Linked DNA regions of Oryctolagus cuniculus. The protein of the gene in region 1 purifies or fractionates together with the protein of each later gene. This does not show direct contact. Links are inferred from orthologs where the notes say so. Each region holds a gene or a part of one and is shown in the gene's direction. Other genes may lie near its edges.

Evidence for each region. Proteins that work in one complex are often made in the same cells at the same time.
Region 2: the proteins of DOT1L (region 1) and NPM1 purify together in Homo sapiens (affinity purification with mass spectrometry; 3 studies listed by BioGRID and IntAct, with this or other methods). This does not show direct contact. The link is inferred for Oryctolagus cuniculus from reciprocal best matches to the Homo sapiens genes DOT1L and NPM1.

What each region holds. Positions count from the first base shown.
Region 1 is NC_091447.1:59,094,256-59,097,813, forward strand, and holds part of DOT1L (histone-lysine N-methyltransferase, H3 lysine-79 specific), read left to right. Parts: intron 1-1,080; coding exon 1,081-1,149; intron 1,150-1,435; coding exon 1,436-1,542; intron 1,543-1,757; coding exon 1,758-1,799; intron 1,800-2,489; coding exon 2,490-2,600; intron 2,601-2,863; coding exon 2,864-3,098; intron 3,099-3,558. UniProt on the Homo sapiens protein: Histone methyltransferase. Methylates 'Lys-79' of histone H3. Nucleosomes are preferred as substrate compared to free histones. Binds to DNA.
Region 2 is NC_091437.1:58,113,744-58,117,852, forward strand, and holds the start of NPM1 (nucleophosmin), read left to right. Parts: upstream 1-1,254; 5' UTR 1,255-1,587; coding exon 1,588-1,645; intron 1,646-3,470; coding exon 3,471-3,550; intron 3,551-4,019; coding exon 4,020-4,109. UniProt on the Homo sapiens protein: Involved in diverse cellular processes such as ribosome biogenesis, centrosome duplication, protein chaperoning, histone assembly, cell proliferation, and regulation of tumor suppressors p53/TP53 and ARF.

The sequences.
Region 1 (3,558 bases):
GTCCTGGAGGTGAGCCCTCCCCAGCACGGCGGCAGGCCTGCTCGTGGGCGTGGGGGCTGACAGCGTGAAGCCAGAGCCCCCGTGTCTGCGAGTGTGGGGTGAGCGCGCACAGCAGGGCCCGGGGACCAGGGCTTTCCCCCTCTGCAGCTGCACTCGCGTGGCGGCCGCTGTCGGCTTGCTTCCAGCCCGCTGGGGCGGCGACGGTTCCCTGTGGACCATGAGGCGGGGGTCACCTGGACTGGCCCTTCCAGGGCAGCTGCCCGTGGGGCGTGAACGTGAGGGAACCCGGGGCAGCCTGCAGGTGGCACTGTGTCCCACGTGGACCTGCTGGCCAGGGCGACCTCGGCGGCCGTCCTCGCTGGGGAGCGGTGTGAGGCCCCCAGGTCCAGTGTCCACTCCCCCCCATCTTTCTCTTTTTTGAATTTATTTATCTGAAGGGAGAGTTACAAAGAGAGAGAGAGATCTTGCATCCGCTGGTTCCCTCCCCACATGGCTGCAACAGCCAGAGGCTGCGCTGGTGCGGAGCCAGGAGCCAGGAGCTTCTCCCGGGCCTCCGATGCGGGTTCAGGGCCGAGGATTAGGCCGTCCTGCAGGGAGCTGGATGGGAAGAGGAGCAGCCGGGACTCGAACCAGCGTCCCATGGGTTGCGGCCCTGCAGCGGCGGCTTCGCCCGCTGCGCCCCAGCGCCAGCCCTTGCGTCCCCTCGCCCGCTGCTCCCGTGGCTGCCGGCTCTGTTGGCTTTGGAGTGCCGGCTCCTCCTCCCTGGCATCACAGGGCCGCCTGCCTCCCCGCGGGCCTCAGCCAGCCCCAGGGCCACGTGGCGGCCTGGCTCTGCTTGTGTGGGCTGGCTGGCTGCTCCTGCCGCTCCCATCCGGAGAGGGTCCCCGGCCCCTGCCCACCAGCTGCCCGGGTTGGCGAGGCGGGGGTGAGACCTGGGGTCCCCTTGGTCCGGGCCCTCCTGCGGGGTCTGCGGGGGCTGGGCTCAGGAGAAGGCAGTGCAGCAGCGGTGGGCGGGCCGTCGGGCGTGTCTGGGGTCCTCCTGCCTCCGGCCCTGACCCCGCCCTGACCCCGCTGTTCCAGGTGGCAGAATCGTGTCCTCGAAGCCCTTTGCGCCGCTGAACTTCAGGATCAACAGCAGGAACTTGAGCGGTGAGCGGCCGTGTGGGCGCCCACCCTGAGACGGCTGCCCTGGACCCTCACCCGGGCAGGCCGCTCTCCCCCCTCCCCAGCACGGCCCAGCCTGGGGCAGCGTGGCCCCGAGGGAGGCCTGGCGGCTGAGGGGGCTGCTTAGGGCTGCTTGAGCTCAGGCTGGGGGGGGCACAGCTGCCCGTGCTGTCGGGAGACGGCCAGGCTGGGCGGGCACGCGGGGCCTGTCCCCTGAGGGCCTCGGGGTTGCTCCGGGGACGAGCACCCAGGCGGCCCTTGCTGTCCACAGACATCGGCACGATCATGCGTGTGGTGGAGCTGTCGCCCCTGAAGGGCTCCGTGTCGTGGACGGGGAAGCCCGTGTCCTACTACCTGCACACGATCGACCGCACCATAGTGAGTGCCCCGCCCGCCCGTCTGCCGTGGGGCGGCCGCACCGTCCAGGCTCCTGTCCGTGTCCTGCCGCGGCCCCGCTCCAGCCCCCCGGCCAGCCGCGGCCTCGGGTGCCGCGTCCCTCCGGGCCTGTGCAGCCGTGTGGGGGCTCCGGCGCGGAGCGCTGGGTGCGGCCCCGACCCGCTCTCACACGCGTTTCTCTGCTTTCCTTTCTTTAGCTTGAAAACTATTTTTCTAGTTTGAAAAACCCAAAACTCAGGGTAAGTTGTATGCGTTCCCCCGACTTAGGAGTGGAGGGTACCTCACCAGCCTTGGCCACAGAGCAGACCCCGGGCCCTTCCCACCCCTCCTGCGTGTCTGCCTGCGTGTCTGTGTCCCGCGCGTGTCTCCACCTGTGTGTCTGCATGTGTCTGTGTCCACGCGTGTCTGCATTTGTGTGTCTGTCCCACGCGTGTCTCCGTCTGTGTCCAGGCTCTGTCTCGTCAGCAGGCCTGTGTGGTTCTGCCTGTGGCCAGCAGTGAGTGTGAGCTGGGGTCACGGTTGGGCTTGCTGGTGAGGTGGGCGGCTCTGGACTGGGCCGTCTGCCCTCCCTCCCACAGACAGCGACGTCCCGGGTCCCCCGCCCCTTCCCGGCTCTTCCCGCTGAGTCCGCCCTAGACCCTCAGCGCACTTGCTGCAGAGGGGGGCCAGGTGTGAGGCGGGGCCCTTCGGCCTGTGGCCCCCAGGGCCATGCCCTTCCCAGCACCCATGGGGAACGCGGGCTCTGCCTGGTGAGCCCAGGAGGCAGTCACTCGGGTTTGCCTTCCTCTGCCAGGGCGGCCGTGGCTGCGGCCCTGGGCCCGGTGCCCCTGTGCAGCCCCTGTGAGGCCGCCCTTGGCCGGCGCTGTGCACGCGGGCCTGGGCCTCCCGGGTGCCGTGCCCGCAGCCCTGCCTCAGGCCTCTCCCTGCAGGAGGAGCAGGAGGCCGCCCGGCGCCGGCAGCAGCGGGAGAGCAAGAGCAACGCCACAACGCCCACCAAGGCCCCCGAGGGCAAGGCGGCCGGGCCTGCCGAGGCCCCCGCGGTAAGCCGCCCGCCGCCCCGGCCCCCTGGCCCCGCGTGCGCCTCCACTGCCCGCCCCTCTGCCCCCTGCTCCCTGACCCTACGCCCGCCCCCCGCTCCCTGTCCTGCTGCCCCCTGCCCCCTGTCCCCACCACCCCTGCCCCCTGCCCGCCCGCGTCCCCACCGCCCGCCCCCGCCCCTGCCGGCCCGCCCCCGCCCCCGCCGGCCCGCCCCCAGCGCCCCCCCCCCCGCCGGCCCGCCCCCAGCGCCCCCTCTGCCCGCCAGGACTCGGGGGCCGAGGACGAGAAGGCGGGGGCGGCCCCCGTGAAGAAGGCCTCCCCCTCCAAGGCCCGGAAGAAGAAGCTGAGCAGGAAGGGCAGGAAGATGGCCGGCCGCAGGCGCGGGCGCCCCAAGAAGATGAGCGCCGTGGACGCGGAGCGCAAGCCCCGGAAGAGCCGCGCGGCGCTGGACGCCCTGCAGGCCCCGGCCGCGCCTGCCACCGCCCCCCCCTCGCCCCAGGGTGAGCTTTGCGACCGCTGCACTGACCGGCAGACAGGGAGTGAGGCAGCCAGCCCCATGCACTGCGCGGTCACGCTCGGGACGCTGCGCTGGCCGCGCCCCAGCCGGTCTCCCATGCAGGGGGCGGGCCTCGCTTGCCCACTGCCTCGCTGGCCACACGCGTAGGGAGCTGCATCGGGTGCAGCAGCCAAGATCCGCGGGGTGCTCGTGCCGCCAGGCCGTCTTAACCCACCTGGCCACAATGCTGGCCTCCAGGCTGCGCTGTGCGGTCCCTGGACCCCGCCCCATCCCTCTGTGGCCGTGGAGGTCCTGGCGGCCCAGCGCCAGCCCGGGGCGCCTCCCGGAGCAGCACCAGCAGGCAGGACCTGGCCGTGAGGGTCTCCTGCAGGAGCCTGGTGGGCCCGGCCCCATGCGCCCGAGCTCCTGGCGCAGGCTGGGGGCGGGGCTGAGCTGGGGGCGGG
Region 2 (4,109 bases), on another chromosome or scaffold:
GAAGTATTTCTGAGTGTATGTACATATATTCCTAAGTACCCATCCTTTTACTGTGGAAGTCCATTTCTTAGGCTATATTCTATTAAACTACTTTCAGATATCCATAAAAATATAGGTACAAAGATGTTTACCTAAATAATATTTTTAGTAAAATTAGGTAGAAAATATGCCTATCAATGGAGGAACAAATAAATTATAACATACCTACATTATACTACCATAGACAAACATCTATCCAAAACATTTTTTTAAAAGTTTACTTATTTACTTGAAAGTCAGAATTACAGAGAGGGAGAGGCAGAGAGAGAGAGAGAGAGAGAGAGAGAGAGAGGTCGTCCATCCGCTGGTTCACTCCCCAAATGGCTGCAATGGTCGGTGTGGACCAGGCAAAGCCAGGAGCCAGGAGCTTCTTCCCCGTCTCCCACGTGGGTGCGGGGGCCCAAGGACTTGGGACATTAGGCCATTACCAGGGAGCTGGATGAAGTGGAGCAGCCGGGACTCAAACCTCAAACCGGCGCCACCATCACAGTACTTCCTAATTCGATGTATTGAGGTAAAAAAAAAAAAAAAAAAAAAAAAAAAAAAAAAAATTCCTTAAGAAGCCCAGCGCTCAGGGTCTGTGAGGTCTTACGTGTTTGTCAAGTAGTTTAAAATGCTAATTCCCAGGCTGCCTTCCAAAGATTCGAATTAAGGTTCCTGCATTTAAATCGAGTCAAACGTTTCCTTTCGCCGGGAATGTTAAAGGTTAGGAAGTGCACATCCCCAGAGGCTGCACCGGCGGAGGCGGCTGACTCGGTCCCCGTGTGGCCCCAAGTTGCCATAAAAATGAGGACTTTGTTGATTTTTCCTCAGAAAGGGCGGATTTATAAGAACACAGAGTCCTGTAAGTCTGGCCAATAAAGAATAAAAACCGTCGTCCACTCGTTCTCCCGCTCTGGCACCTGAGACTAGCTGTGGGGAAGCCATTAGCTCCGAGCCCAGGCTTTCGGGCAGGTCAAAATCCCGCGCTGATTATGCCATCTTGGAGGCTTGCGGGAGACGAGGGGATGGAGGAAGGAGAATGGAGCTGCTTTCTGGCTTATTCCCGACTGCCTGAGCCTCCGCATCCAGCACAGCGAAGGCCTGCTGTCGCCATCTTGCAGGGTGGGCTGCGCAGGCTCTTGGCGCGAAGCCGACGCGCTGGAACCGGAGAGGACGTGGAACCGCCGGAGGTGGGGAGCGCGCGCCGCAAGGGGAAAGCGCGCCTGCGCATCGGCGACGGCGGCAGAGGGGTGGGGCAGGGTTTCGAGTGCGCGTGCCCGGTGTGAGCCCGCGAAGTACCTGGAAGAGGTGGGGGGAGAGGTAGAGAGGAGTGTGTTGAAGAGCGCTTGCGCAGCAGCGCGACCGTACTGCGAGAAGGGGCTGAAGAGCACGCGCGCGGAGGCGGGACTTGGAAAGCTATCGCGAGATTTCTGGTGGCTATATATACTAGCGGGGAGCCCGCGTCCTTTCCCTGGCGTGATTCCGTCCTGCGCGGCTGTTCTTTGCAGCAGTGGGCGTCTAATCTCCGTCCGCTTTCTCTCCTACCCAAGTTCGTCCCTCCGCCTCATGGAAGATTCGATGGACATGGACATGAGCCCCCTGAGGCCCCAGAACTATCTTTTCGGTAACTATTGTGGGGGTTGAAGCGAGGCCGAGCAGGGCCTGGTGGTGGCTTTAAGGGTTGGGGGGAGGGGGCGGCGGGAGTCTGACTGAGGCCCGGGCTGTTGGAAAAAGGCCGGCAGACTGGAGGCCGGAGAGAATAGGGAGCAGACCGCAGGCGTCCTGGTGCTGAGCGGGGTGGGAGCTGGGAGCAGAGAGTGAGCCGTGTGAAAGGGGTGGGGAGGAGCGGCGGCCCCCGGCCTGGGGCGTGAGCGGGCCATGGCCCAAGGCCGTCTGAAGGTTCGGCGTTGCCTGGGCTGCGAAGTAGGATTCCAGGCGTGATTTTTTGTCCCGTAGTGTGTAAGTCGGCTGGCTTGTTGCTAGGCCGTGTTACAGGAGGTTGGGGGGGGTGCATGGAGGGGCGTGGAAGTCCCTGCTGGAGGAGGAGGTGGGTGCAGCCTGGCGTCCTCATCCAGAGTTCCGGGCCCGGAGACAGCTCGGGTGCCTCAGCCAGTGAACCGGGGAGGGGATGTGCGGCGGGGCTTGAGGAGGCCGCGACCGCCCGAAGCACGTGGTTGCCACGTGGTTGGGGGAAGGGAGGGGGTGTGGGCTGTACATCCGGGGCTCTGGCATCTTGTCACCCACCCACCCCCCGCCCCAGCCAGGGGTCCTGTGGCTGCTTTGAGACTGTTGGGCGGGAAGTGATAGGTGTAGTGGCGGATTGAACTAGGATTCTGGAAGTCTTTGTCCAGCGTCTGCAGCATCAACTGTACCGTAACTGGCCTTTTTAGAGTCCTCTTTCTGCCTCAGCTGGTAGACGGACCTAAACCACAATACAGGTCTGATGCTCAGAGAAGTAATTAGGTTAAGGTTGCGCTTAAAAACCAGATTTAAACAAAATCCTTGATTGCAGAGCCAGCGCTTCATAAGTGAGGCTTATTTTTTTTCCAGGAAGGGTGTAGCGGAGGTAGTCCAGCATGGATTTTGTTATGTTCACCAACGTTCTCGGGTTGTAACCAGAGATTGGGAACCACAGCGCCCCCGTCCCCCGCGAACTCACACTACTATGTATGCATAGTTTTAAGGAATTACAGTAGAACTTAATTCTGGGAACCCTTTGTTGGTTAGACATGGAAATAGATGCTAATCCTACCCCTAGTTTACAAACCATGTTGAGGTTTGTTAGCACTAGCATGCTTAAGTATCTATTGTGAATGGGAGTGAAGTGTAACCACGTAAATTTTTATTCTGGCAATAATTAAAACAGTTTCCCGATGGAGTGGGAGTAGATAATGTGCACGGTAGTGCACTTTAGGACTTAATTCTTAGCCATTTTTAGAGGTTTCTGGTGATTTTATAAACAATAATTCTTTTTTTTGGCCCTTTATATTGGAAGTGTCCTTGATTGTGTCTGTTGCCTCTATTTCTAATGTGCATCACTTTGGAATATTGACCCTTACAAGTTGATTCTTTTATGTTGGTACTTTTCTCTGTAGATGAAAGCTGTTCATCTGAGAAACCATTCTCATTGCTAATTTTCCACTATTGGGAGTTTAGATAGATAATTCCAGTTTTTTAAATGGTTGGGAATTAACTATTATATATTAGGCTTCATTATTGATATGTCTGCAGAAGTAGTAGTGCTTGTCTCAGTGTATTGAAAAATACTGTAATGAAAATGCAACTAATACAGACTTGTAAGGACCTTAAATGATTTTTAAAAATGAGTGTTGAGGAAACCAGAAAGAGACCATTCTTCCTACTCTGTGGTAGCTAAAGTAGAGGAAAACTACTTAAAAGGTTAGCTTTGTTAATTTTCTGCTTGTTAGAATTGCTTTTTTCTTTTACAGGTTGTGAACTAAAGGCTGACAAAGATTATCACTTTAAAGTGGACAATGATGAAAATGAGCACCAGTTATCTTTAAGAACGGTACTTAAGCTTTTAAAATAAACATTTCTTGATTTCAGCAATTTAATTGTCCCCTATTTCTCTGCTTATAAGAGTTTTTATGATTGGATATTGTATATACCTCATCAATAAACTTGATTAAAAAGCTGGGCATGTTCACTGCTACCTGGTAATCTGGTAAAGTCAAGTCACCGTTTTATTATCTTGCTTCATTTGAATCATGAAAGATCTCTAGGGTGTCTGCCAGACGAACCTACTCAGCTTTGTAGTGGGTGTTTAATAGGTGTTCTGTATAATATGTGTGCATTTTTAAGTATTTCTTCAAGTTTACTGAACATGAGAAATTGGTTTGCCAATCTTACTAAACTTGAAGGTAGTGTTGGCACAAGTTGGAAATAATGATAAAAGTCATATTTGGTATTTTTAAACACAGATTTCCGAGGCAGGATTGTAAAACAGTTGGAAATTAAAGTTTACAAACTGTTCACAGGTCAGTTTAGGCGCTGGTGCCAAGGATGAACTGCACATTGTTGAAGCAGAGGCAATGAATTATGAAGGCAGCCCGATTAAAGTCACACTG